2 linked regions of the Callithrix jacchus genome follow. The protein of the gene in region 2 purifies or fractionates together with the protein of the main gene of each other region. This does not show direct contact. Links are inferred from orthologs where the notes say so. Each region holds a gene or a part of one and is shown on either strand. Other genes may lie near its edges.

Region 1 (6,049 bases), on a different chromosome or scaffold from region 2:
CCGCCCTGGCAGCCAGAAGCCACGGGTCCCTCTAGGCATCACATCGCCTTCTCAGTCTGCTGCTGTGTCCAGAGCAATCTGCTCTGTCCAACAGCCAGATCCAAGGTGACCCACGGGTTCTCCCTCTGGAAATAAAGATCTGCTGGGGAACTCAGGAGGGGCTGTTTCAGTGTCCCTAGCTGGGTCCCAGGGAGGCTCCAAGTCCCTAGCTGTGCAGGAGCCTGAGGCAGAGGATGGGTCGGCCTTCCCACCACCGGCAACCCTGGGGCTGCCTATGCTGCCCATGCCCACTCAGGAGGATGCTGAGCCACCCACTCCTATCAAGGACCAGAGGCCTGTATGTCCTGACCCATATGCCTCTTCAGCACAAGGAGCTCCTTAGAAAGCACACACCACGCTGGTTGTCAGTCTGGGAAGCCGAGCTCCTAAGGAGCAGGCAGCCCCCAGCACCAGTGCCTGGCCAGTCGGTGGCACTCAGAGCAGCAGACATGGCATGACTTGCACACACAGTCCATGTCAGGTGGGACTCTGATGGGGCTCCTGGGGGCAGTGCCAGCCTGAGCCCTCCTCCACCTGTGCCCCAAGATGACTGATTTACCCCAAACAGGGCACTCCCCTCTGCTGTCCTGGAGCAGGCCAGGCCTGGCACCATGTCTATGCCTGCAGCCCTCACACTGCCCCCACCGTTGGGCCCAGCCACGCACATGCTGTAATTCTGGTCCTCCGTCTCCTGCTGCACCGACAGCTCCTCTAGTGTGGCGTCCATGTCCAGCTGGTTTGTCTCCAGCTGCCGCAGCAGCGTCTCCCTCTGCAGAAGAGAAGCACATAGGCCTGAGCAGGGACCCTTCCTGATGTGAGCACCCCAGCCCGACAGCAGCCGAAGGCATCGGGGGCACCACCTGCTGAAACCAGGAGATGGGGCAGGGCTGGCTGCTCAGCACCTCATGGAGCTCTGAGCTGGGCCTCACTGGAACCACAGAAGCCCGCAGGACTCCTTCACAGTGGCCAGCATGACACCTATGCTACCTCAGGGCACAGATGCCAACCACAGGCACAAACCCCAACAGAAGCACCTTTACCCATACATGTGCTTGCGAGGGTGCAGAAGCCCCACCTTCACCTGGAAAACAGCCTCTCTGCTCCCAGATTCGCAAATCTCCTCTGGGGGCAGGACTTAGCCCCGGCGTCCGTGCCATCACCCCCACTCCCACCAGCAGCTGGGCTGTGCAGCAAACCACAGCCCACCTGGCCTGGAACCCCAGGCCGGTCTGATGAGCTGTGGGTTCACGTTGCTGCTAACTTTAGATTCAAATTAAATAAACACCTGCAACAGCCACATCTCAAGCACCTGAGTCCCACGCAGGAGGCACCTGGGGACTGAACAGGGCTGTGTCTTCTTGTGGCCATGGAAGGTCTGCTGGCTGGACACCAGGGAGCATATACGACAGAGCAAATCAACTAGACAGAAAAAGCAGGTGCATCTGCAGGCTAAGAGAGACTTGAGATGGTGTGGGTTTTATTTTATTCAGACAGGGTCTCATGCCATCACCCAGGCTGGAATGCAGTGGCATGATGTGGGCTCCCCACAGCCTGAACCTCCTGGGTTCCCTTCCCTACCTCAGCTTCCAGAGTAGCTGGGACCACATGAATGTGTCACCATGCCTGGCTAATATTTTTTTTTATTTTTAAAGACTGGGGTTTCACCGTATTGGTCAGGCTGGTCTCAAACTCCTGCCCTCAGGTGATCCGCCCGCCTCAGCCTCCCAAAGTGCTGGGATTACAGATGTGAGCCACCACCCCCGGACATGCCTGGCTAATTTTTAAAAATGTTTTGTAGTTTGCCAGGCATGGTGTTATGCCTGTAACCTCAGCACTTTGGGAGGCTGAGGCGGGCAGATCACGAGGTTAGGAGTTTGAAACTAGACTAACATGGAGAAACCCTGTCTCTACTGAAAATACAAAAATTAGCCAAGTGTGGTGGCACACGCCTGTGGTCCCAGCTACTCAGGAGGCTGAGTCAGGAGAATCGCTTGGGGCCTGGGAGACAGAGGTTGCGGTTAGCTGAGATCGCACCACTGCACTCCAGCCTGGGCAACAGAGCGAGACTCTGTCTCAAACAAAAAAAAGATATTAAAGTCAGTAAGATCCCTAAAAATGGCTACTATAACAAAAATGTGATTTACAAAGAGAAAACTACAGACTCGTCAACCAACTGTAACTAACGTGTGAACTCTGGATCCTGCTCTGAATACTGAACTCTTTGGGAATTTTATTTCTCTAAGAAAAGTCTTCTGTGACTTGAATGTGAGGTGTTAAATTAGGCACTATGGTCAGGTTAAAAAAAGAGAACAGTTTTTAGAGATGTTTGAAATATTTTTAGGTGACATAAGACTTGAAATTTGCTTCCAGGCCATTCAGGAGCAAGACAGAGGAAACGGGGTCCCGCTGCTGAGACCGGAGGGGCTGTCACATGTGTATGAACACATCCACAGCAAAAGGACAGTCACACAGCTTGCCCTACGCTTCCAGCTCAAGACTCTGTCCAGGGTCTCGTTCTCTCCCTCAGAGGCTTTGGAAGTGTTTGGAGGGCAAACCCTTTAGGGAATGGAGCAGCTGAGCAGTGAGAGGCTCTCTAAGGCGTAACCACCCACTGACGAGGGGACAGCTCTGCAGTGCTGACACCGGGTAAGCCTGACTGCCGGCCTTCCTTCCACCCAAACGTCCCCAGAAGCATTCCCAACCTGCAGTGTCCCCACTTCTTCTGACACCGGAAGGATAGCACAGCCCCTTTCCTGGGCAATCATGAAGTCCTGGAGAAAGACCAAGTCTGCTGCAGCTTCGGCTGGGTCCCATGTCCCCCATACCCAGTCAGGGCAGGCCAGGGCGAGGAGGTCCAGGTCCCCCAGACCCAGTTGGGGCAGGCCAGGGTGAGAAGGTCCAAGTCCTCAGACCCATCGTTTGCTGGGCTACTTTGCAGCCAGAGCTGGCCTTGGCCCCTTGTTTCCACGAGGGAAATGGAGTTTAGTCTATAGACCAAAGTTGGCCCCTTGGTTTTGACACAAGCACCACGGAAATGTGAGCTGTGGGGCAGGCGTGGTGGCTCAATCCTATAATCCTAGCACTTTGGGAGGCTGAGGTGGGCGGATCACAAGGTCAAGAGAGCGAGATCATCCTGGCCAACATAGTGAAACCCCGTCTCTACTAAACATACAAAAATTAGCCGGGCCTGTGGTCTCAGCTACTTGGGAGGCTGAGGTGGAAGAATTGTTTGCAACCAGGAAGTGGAGGTTGCAGCGAGCCGAGATTGCGCCACTGCACTCCAGCCTGGCAACAGAGCAAGACTCCATCTCAAAAAAAACAAATTAATTAAAACAAAATTTAAAGAGGAAATGTGAGCTGTGAGCAGCAAGGAAAGGTGAGCTCAGCACCTTGGGAGACTGAGGTGGGAGAATAGCTTGTGCCCAGGAGTTGAGGCTGCAGTGAGCCACGACTGCACCACTGCACGCCGGCCTGGGCCACACAGCAAAACCTTATCTCAACACACAAAAATGACCAAAACCACAGAGGGAAACTGAGCAAGGGGTCCCTGCAGAGGTGGAGGGGCTTCTGGGATGGGGCCCAGCCCTCAGGACCTGCACCGTCTGCCACCTGGGCAGGCAGGCACAGTAGGATGCTGGGCCCTGACCAGCAGCTAACCCAAGCAGGCCCACCGATCTCTTGGGTGAGGAGGGAGCCCTGTTGCTATAGGAGACACAGCAGGAAGAGGCAAGACCAGTGCCCACTCTGCCTGCATGGTGAGTGCTTACCTGAAGCTGCAAGAAGGGGATGTTGAAGAACTTATGAAGGTACTTTAGGCCAAAGCTGTTCTTCATGGAAGACTCAGCGTAGCGGAAGTAGGAGGAACCTGGAGGTCTACTTTCAGGAAGGAAGACACATGCAAGAGAAACCTTGCCCCCCGTGCCAAGGACCACCCCTGGGCCCACAGCTGCTGGTCTGCACTGCCCTCCCTCCTCCTGGAGGCTCCTGAGGCCACAGGACCCTGCTGAGCCTCCTGAGCAGCTAAGCTGAGTGCCATTCTGCAGGGGAACCCCAGTACCAGCACCTCACCCTGGCAGAGTTCCCAGGCACTGCTGTCTGGGAGACCCAGGCTTCAGGGAGCCCCACGCAGCAGCGCAACTCTTCATGTCCCCCAGCCCCCATGATAACGCTAACATCTCCCAAGCCCCTCCCAAGGCTTCTGCCTCAGCACCTCCCCTACGCTCACCTGTCCAGGTTGTCAATGAAGTCACGCACGTCGTCTGGTAGGATGACTCGGTGCTCGCCCATGTCCCGGTAGTTCCCCAGCACACACACCGGCACGTGGGTGGGCACTTTTGGAAGCTCCCGGAGAATGTAATTGAAGGTCCTTGGAGAACAGGTGAGGACCTGGCTTAGTTTCAGCCCCTCGACGCCCTGTCCCTCCCTGGGAAGCTGCTGTGCGTGCAGGCCTCAAGATGGCAGCTGCTTTTCATTCCTAACACCTGACCAGCAGGAGCAGGCTGCATGCCTGCAGAGCTAGAGGAAGTGCTGTGGGTGCCTCTGCACCCTCCCAGCCTACAGCCCTGCCCATCTCTGCTCCTTGAACATACACTGGACAGCGCTCCACAGAGGAGCACCCCCACACTGTCCCTGCCCATCCTCTCCCAGATGGCACGCACTTGACTGCACCCACAAAGGAGCACCCCTGCCTTACCTGGAGCACCCTATGTCTGCATCCTTATAAAATCGCCTCAGGCTTCGCCTGCATCCACCCTCATCCTGCCCTGTCCCGTGTGCCCCTCGGCATCAGCCCAGCCCCGTGGCTGCTCCTCCAGGGTCCCTGCCCACCAGGGTGGCTGAGGACAGCAGCCCGGGGTGCCCCTGCTGTGGCCAGTCAAGCAGGCTTTTTTTCCCCCCACAAAAAGCAACAAGTTTATTAACATCACGTATTCTAATATGTATCCAAGTTTCAAGCACATCATTTTGAACCTCAAACAAGAAATCACAGTATTTACTATAATTAAAAAGGAAAGAAAGGAAAAGGTGGTAGTTGTCAATCATGGGTTTTAGTCCAAAATGAAAAGGTAGAAAACATTTATTTTGGTGGATCTGCATTGATGCCATATTTCTCTTTGAGAAGCTTCAGCTGTCCCTCCTCCTTTGCGTCCATCTTCTGAAATGCCCTGTTGGCATCATAGCACAAAATCACAAGGCATCTGCTCAAACACTGAATCCCCAGAGGCGATCACACGCACTCCTGGCATCAAAGATGTCCTCACAGACCATATAAACTGTTCCTCTGGTTTCAGGTGTGCTCCCCACTCTGATTTGACGCATAGGTCCTTATTTCCCAAATACATTCAACGTTTCTTCAGCTGTGATTCTGTGCGGCAAATTTCTTATGTACAATATCCGACTTACTTCAGGTGGAGTTGAATGTTCGCCCTCTTGGCCGCTTGCACGGCCATCTTGGTGAGCTGACGAGGTTACACAGCAAATACTGAAATTCCTCCGGACACCTCCGGAGCTGGCTTGGCTTCAGGCGCTACACCGTGTTAGATGCAGGACATCCATATCCAGGCTCTGCCTGAAGCTGTAACAGCACCCCGGAATAGAGTTGTCTAAGCGGACTGTTTGAGAGCCTTGTCTTTGGCAGACATGTCCCAGCACGGACGGCAAATCTCTAGAATCTGCCTGGTGTGAGCTGCCAGTCTCAACTGCATGGTTTTCCAAATGGCTTGTGAAGAAATTACTAGTGCTTCAAGTGACAAAACTTCCCCACAACTGACAGAAGCCAACACAAGTGGGTGAAAAACGCAATGTCCTGTGTTTCTAACTTGATTTTCTTTTATTCACAGTCATTTAAACTGGTCCCCTCACCAAGGCTGGCCCAGGGGCACCTCCAGCCTCCTCAGCAGGCCCCCTCTGTCCTCTGGCATCTCCTGCCTCTCACGGCTGTGAAGGCATGTCTCCCTAGGCTGGCTGGAGTCCTGTGACCCCTCCTGCCCACTCCACACACAGCAGCCCAGGT
Region 2 (6,049 bases):
AGAAAAAGCTGCTTCTTCAGTGTTTGGATTTTTCTTAATAAAGTTGTGGATGGTCTCTAGAATTGTCAGATATACCCATACCAACATGATCAAATTTCTAGAAGAGAAAAATAGGCCATGTAGCCCTCTGTCTACCTGCCAAATCAGGTTAAATTTATTTACTTATCTTTTGCCTCCTGTGTTAACAGTAACCTAATCTAATTTCAGTGGCTCAACAGCAGAATCTCTGCCACTGATGAAAAAAGAGGCTGGTTGTTTCAAAACCTTCTGCCAGTAAAATGTCTCCACTGAGAATACAGAGTTATAACTAGGCCCTTCAGTATTCAACTTTATTTTACACGAGATGCTGCCAAGCAGGCCTCAGTGGAGTAAATGGAATCTGGCCTTTTCCCATTTTAAGGTCAGCATACCCATATGGCTGCAATATAGCTAGTGTTCAGTGTCTGGCTAATTTCCTGGTAAACTGACACATGTCTAAAAATAAGTCTGGTTGTCCAAAACATGTATCTTTGAGCTGTGACTTACTTAACATTTTGGTTAATTTATATTGCCAGTTCAAAAGTACCACATACTTAACAAAACAAAAAGGTGGAATTCAGAAAGATGGTTTAAAGAAAAACATCTGTCTTCTTACTAACAAAATACAACTACCATTAACATTTTGGTTAATATATTTTTTTTTTTCCCGAGACGGAGTTTTGCTCTTGTTACCCAGGCTGGAGTGCAATGGCGCAATCTCGGCTCACCGCAACCTCCGCCTCCTGGGTTCAGGCAATTCTCCTGCCTCAGCCTCCTGAGTAGCTGGGATTACAGGCACGCGCCACCATGCCCAGCTAATTTTTTGTATTTTTAGTAGAGATGGGGTTTCACCATGTTGACCAGGATGGTCTCGATCTCTTGACCTCGTGATCCACCCGCCTCGGCCTCCCAAAGTGCTAGGATTACAGGCTTGAGCCACCGCGCCTGGCCCCATTTTGGTTAATATTACGGTATTAATATTTCAATATAACATTAACATTTTGGTATATTTCTTTAAACATTTCCACCACCAGAAGGTTGCATTTTTTTTCTATTTTGATAATTTTAGTTTTTAATTGCACTTTAAAATATAGTCACAATCATACTTTATCTACAATTTTGCAGTCTAGTTATGATTGGTGTTCCTACCTGCAACCTATAATGATGTTGTCTTCCTGCTCAAAAACCTTCAATGTTTGCTCATTGGCTTTATGATAAAAGCTAAATATTTAGCCTAGCATTGAAGGAGTTTCTCAACTTTTAGTTTGATCTCTAACTTCTCAACTGAAAAACAGCTCTGCTTCTGCTAAAGAGATTAATAAAACTTGAGGTTTTTCACTTCATGTGTGTTTTTTCAAATACAGTTACGTCTATGGAGAATGCTCTTATTCCTACTCCACTTCCTCAATTCTACTGATTCTCTAAGGTGGCTACCCACCACAGTTCAGGAGGGATTACTTCATTAACTGAACCATTCTCTTGAACTTCATAATATACTGCCTTATGAATCTATGTTAAGTTTTGCATTCTATATTTTAGTAACTTTCCTCTGACTATACATGTTTATTTTGGAAAATTAAATCATAAAGCAAAAATAAAGATAATCTGTATTTTTTTGGCTGGCATAATCATTTGTAATCCCAGCACTTTGGGAGGCTGAGGCGGGTGGATCCCGAGGTCAAGAGATGGAGACCATCCTGGTCAACATGGTGAAACCCCGTCTCTACTAAAAATACAAAAAATTAGCTGGGCATGGTGGCACGTGCCTGTAATCCCAGCTACTCAGGAGGCTGAGGCAGAAGCATTGCCTGAACCCAGGAGGTGGAGGTTGTGGTGAGCTGAGATTGCGCCATTGCACTCCAGCCTGGGTAACAAGAGTGAAAACTCCGTCTCAAAAAAAATAAATAAATAAAATAAATATTTGGAATGTTTTTAGTGAATATAACTAAAAATAATTTTTTTCAGTTTGTGCTGACTTCAATTTAACATTATATCATGTGTATTTTCCAATGTTACTATATTATCTGTGAAGTATGTAATTGCTTTTTAAAATTTTATAGTTATTTGCTAATTTTAATTTTTTTCCAAATCCCATTTAGAGTATAAGTTTAAGGAGCACAGACACTCTACCTTACCTTTCTTTCAGTTTGTCCTAACACTCCCCCTTATACAGAGGATGATTAAAGAGCTGCTGAATGATCTTTTTCTTATAGGCCTCTCTCACATCAGTTTTAGGTCAAGGCACTGGAGACGGGTTTTCAATGGTGGGCAGTGGAGTTGGAGTGGCATATAACATTTCATAGGAATCTTTCTCTAAAAGACTTTAATGCTTTCGAAAGAATATTGGCATCTGGATGTGCCTAACTTCTAGCTACCCTTAAGAATTAAATGCAACTGGAAGCTTACAACACAAGTACAGGCCCACAATGCATGATATCTCATAAGTAAACTATTTTCCTATTTTTTCTTAATACATCTTCTGCATGCATAAAAACAAAGACTTGAAGGACACTGTACACACATACTGTGTAGGTAAGAATCTTAAATCTTCTGTTCTCTAGTAATTGTGGAGTAGCAGCATAACAGTTATGTAATGCTATTTTAAATACTGAAATGCCAGTCTATAAATGGACTAAATGCTCTTCTAAGTGGGCTCATATACTGGCTTCTTTAAGACTAAGTGGAATAATTTATTCAGTCTTAGTATTTAGTGTTAAATGATACTAATAATATTGTTGTGGTTTTTTAAGAAAAAACAAAACAAAACAAAAAAGAGTAATAACCAAAAGTTCTTTTATCACTTAAGCCTCTTTCCATGAATATAAATATATAGTACATCCATTTTAACTTTACCAGTAACTTTAATTCTGGCCGAACTGGACTACTTTAATAATATGTCAGATCATGAGCAACAATGAGTTGTTTACAAAGTTTTAATAGCTCAGTTACTAGTCAAGTATGTTTTCATCTTACCTGTAATAGAGTTGACCACCGAGCGTAAAATTGTTGGTGGTTTAATCAATTCTTTCAAAATGTTGGATTCGGTAGCCAGTGGAAATCCATTGTCTAACATTTCTTCCAAGAGTTCATATACTATGACCACATTATCCTTAATTGCAGCCTCTGAACACTCACCAAAGTAGTCCTTACAAAATACACACAAAATATCACACAAGGGAAGGCACAAAGAAAGGCTTTCTAAATACTTTTTGTTCTGAAGAATAAACTTACAGTAGCAAAATTCATCGCTTAAGATGCTGAACATATGTAAAACAGAGTGGGGGAAACCCTCTATAGGTCAGGCACTGTGGCTCATGCCTGCAATTTCAGCACTTTGGGAGGCTGAGGCAGGTAGATTACTTGAGGTCAGAAGTTTGAGACCAGCCTGGCCAACACCACGAAACCCCGTCTCTACTAAAAATACAAAAATCTACTGAGCATAGTGACACATGCCTGTAATCCCAGTTACTCAGGAGGCTGAGGTGGAAGGATTGCTTGAACCCAAGAGGTGGAGGTTGCAATGAGCTGCTAAGATCATCTCCACTGGGCAGAGAGATCTAGCCTGGATGACAGAGTGAGACTCTGTCTCAAAAACAAAACAAAACAAGCAAACCAAAAAAAATCTCTCTATAGTCCTAACATTATTCCTCAATATTTTCTTAGTATTTTTAGATTGAATTTAATTCAATTCATTTTATACCAGAAAATATTGAAACATTAAACTGGAATGTGAGCTATAAACTTCATCTTGATTATCCCAAAATACATATGGAAATGCTTAAATTATTTGGTATATTCAGCAAGACAAGAGAAAATAATAAAATGTAAATATAGAAGAATTCATTACCAATGAAAATCTTGAGACCATTCAGAAAACTCTATGTGGAGGGCTTTATTGTTTCCTGATCATATACAGTCATTCCTTGGTATGTGTGGGGAATTAGTTCTAGGATCCCCTGTGGATACCAAAACTCACAATTCTCAAGTCCCTGACATAAAATGGCATACTATTTATACACAACTTATACACATCCTCCTATATGCTTTAAATCACCTCTAGATTACTTGTAATATCTAATACAATGTAAATGCTATGTAACTAGTTGTTATACTGTATTGTTTAAGTAATAATGAGGAAAAGTCTGTACATGTTCAGTTCCATTTTTTTTGTTTAAATATTTTCCATGTAAAGTTGGGTGAATTCATGGATGCAGAACCCACATATATGGAGAGTCAACTGTAATTTGAAATACATAAAAAAATCATTAATAGAGCAGCCATGTGTGCCATTGTCTACCACATAGAAATGGGTTTATAAATTTATGCTTAGTTACAGAGAGACAGTAAACACCAAAACCTGGGTAATTAAATAATATAATCATGTCTCACCTCCAACTAACTTGGGTAATTTAAGTTAGAAAGGTGTGATAGATAACCAACCTGGAAAGTGTCAGCAACTCGATGTAGGAACTCAATTACAAACAGAGGTGGCACTTCAGTCTGTATGACAGATACAAAGAAGAGCTTATCCCGGTAGATACTGATGAGGTAGTGGTGAGGTGTTGAAATGACAGGTGGTACATTTTCAACATCAGCAGCTTTCTCCTGAGCTTCAAAGAAATAATCACAGACAGACTGGCTCACAACGCTCTTCCAGTGCTTCTCTAGAAATATGTCACCGGAACAGTTGATGAGAAATAGACTGTGGATCATTTTCTGTTGGGGACAAGAAAGGTTTAAATTTATTACATATTAAAACATATCCCTGTATTGCCCTGACACCAAAGCCAGACAAAGATAATATAAGAAACTACAGACCAATATCACTTAACATACACAAAAAGATTATACTTTGACCAAGTGGGATTTATTCCAAGAATGCAAGGTTGGTTCAACATACAAAATTAATCAACATAATACACAATTAGATAAAGAACTAAAACAATCATTTCAAAAGGTGCAGAAATTGCATTTGACAAAATCCAACATAACTTTATGAAAAAAAAAAAAAAAAGCTACTAAGAACAGAAAGAAACTTTCTCAGCCAGGCATGGTGGCACATGCCTGGAATCCCAGCACTTTGGGAGGCTGAGGTAGGTGGATTGCCTGAGCTCAGGAATTTGAAACCAGCCTGGGCAACAGGGCAAAACACCATTTTTATAAAAAATACAAAAATTAGCCAAGCATGGTGGCCCTCACCTGTAGCCCTAGGTACTCAGGAAGGTGAAATGGGAGAATCGCATTAGCCCAGCGGGGAGGTCAGGGCTGTAGTGAGCTGAGATTGCACCACTGCACTCCAGCCTGGGTGACCAAGTGAGACCCTATCTAAAAAGAAAAATAAGGCTGGGCACAGTGGCTCACACCTGTAATCCCAGCACTTTGGGAGACCAAGGTGGGGTCGGATCATCCGAGGTCAGGAATTCGAGACCAGCCTGGCCAAAATGGTGAAACCTCATCTCTACAAAAAATACAAAAATTAGCAAGGTGTGGTGGTGCTTGCCTATAACCCCAGCTACTTGGGAGGCAGAGGCAGGAGAATCACTTGAACTCAGTAGGCAGAGGTTGCGGTGAGCCAAGATTGTGGCACTGCTCTCTAGCCTGGGTGACAGAGTGAAAATTTGTCTAAAAAAAAAAAAAATTCCTTAACTTGATGAAAACCCCACAGCTAGTATTATATTTAATGGTGAAAGACTGAACACTTTCTCCTGAACAACCAAACCAAACAATGATGTCCAGTTCCATCATTTCTATTCAACATGGTACTGGAGGTTTGAGCAAGGGCAATTAAGCAAGAAAATTAAAAAAAGGCTTCCAAGCTGGAAAGGAAGAACTAAGACTATATCTGTAGAAGACACAATCTTATATATAGAAAAGCCTAAGGAATCCACACACACAACAAAACCTATTAGAGCTAATAAATTTAGTTCAGCAGGCTTGCAGGATACAAGTCAATATAAAAATCAATTATATTTCTATCCGCTATATTAATAAAAAACTAAAAATGGGCAGGGCGTGGTAGCTCATGCCTGTA

The links. Proteins that work in one complex are often made in the same cells at the same time.
Region 1: the proteins of AP3M1 (region 2) and RABL6 purify together in Homo sapiens (co-immunoprecipitation; 3 studies listed by BioGRID and IntAct, counting the BioPlex papers as one, with this or other methods). This does not show direct contact. The link is inferred for Callithrix jacchus from reciprocal best matches to the Homo sapiens genes AP3M1 and RABL6.

Annotation. Positions count from the first base shown.
Region 1 is NC_133502.1:185,266,542-185,272,590, reverse strand, and holds part of RABL6 (rab-like protein 6), read right to left. Parts: intron 5,623-6,049; exon of another isoform or gene 4,923-5,622; intron 4,406-4,922; coding exon 4,265-4,405; intron 3,916-4,264; coding exon 3,807-3,915; intron 2,811-3,806; coding exon 2,742-2,810; intron 809-2,741; coding exon 705-808; intron 1-704. UniProt on the Homo sapiens protein: May enhance cellular proliferation. May reduce growth inhibitory activity of CDKN2A.
Region 2 is NC_133513.1:56,071,465-56,077,513, reverse strand, and holds part of AP3M1 (AP-3 complex subunit mu-1), read right to left. Parts: intron 4,735-6,049; coding exon 4,459-4,734; intron 3,164-4,458; coding exon 2,992-3,163; intron 1-2,991. UniProt on the Homo sapiens protein: Part of the AP-3 complex, an adaptor-related complex which is not clathrin-associated. The complex is associated with the Golgi region as well as more peripheral structures.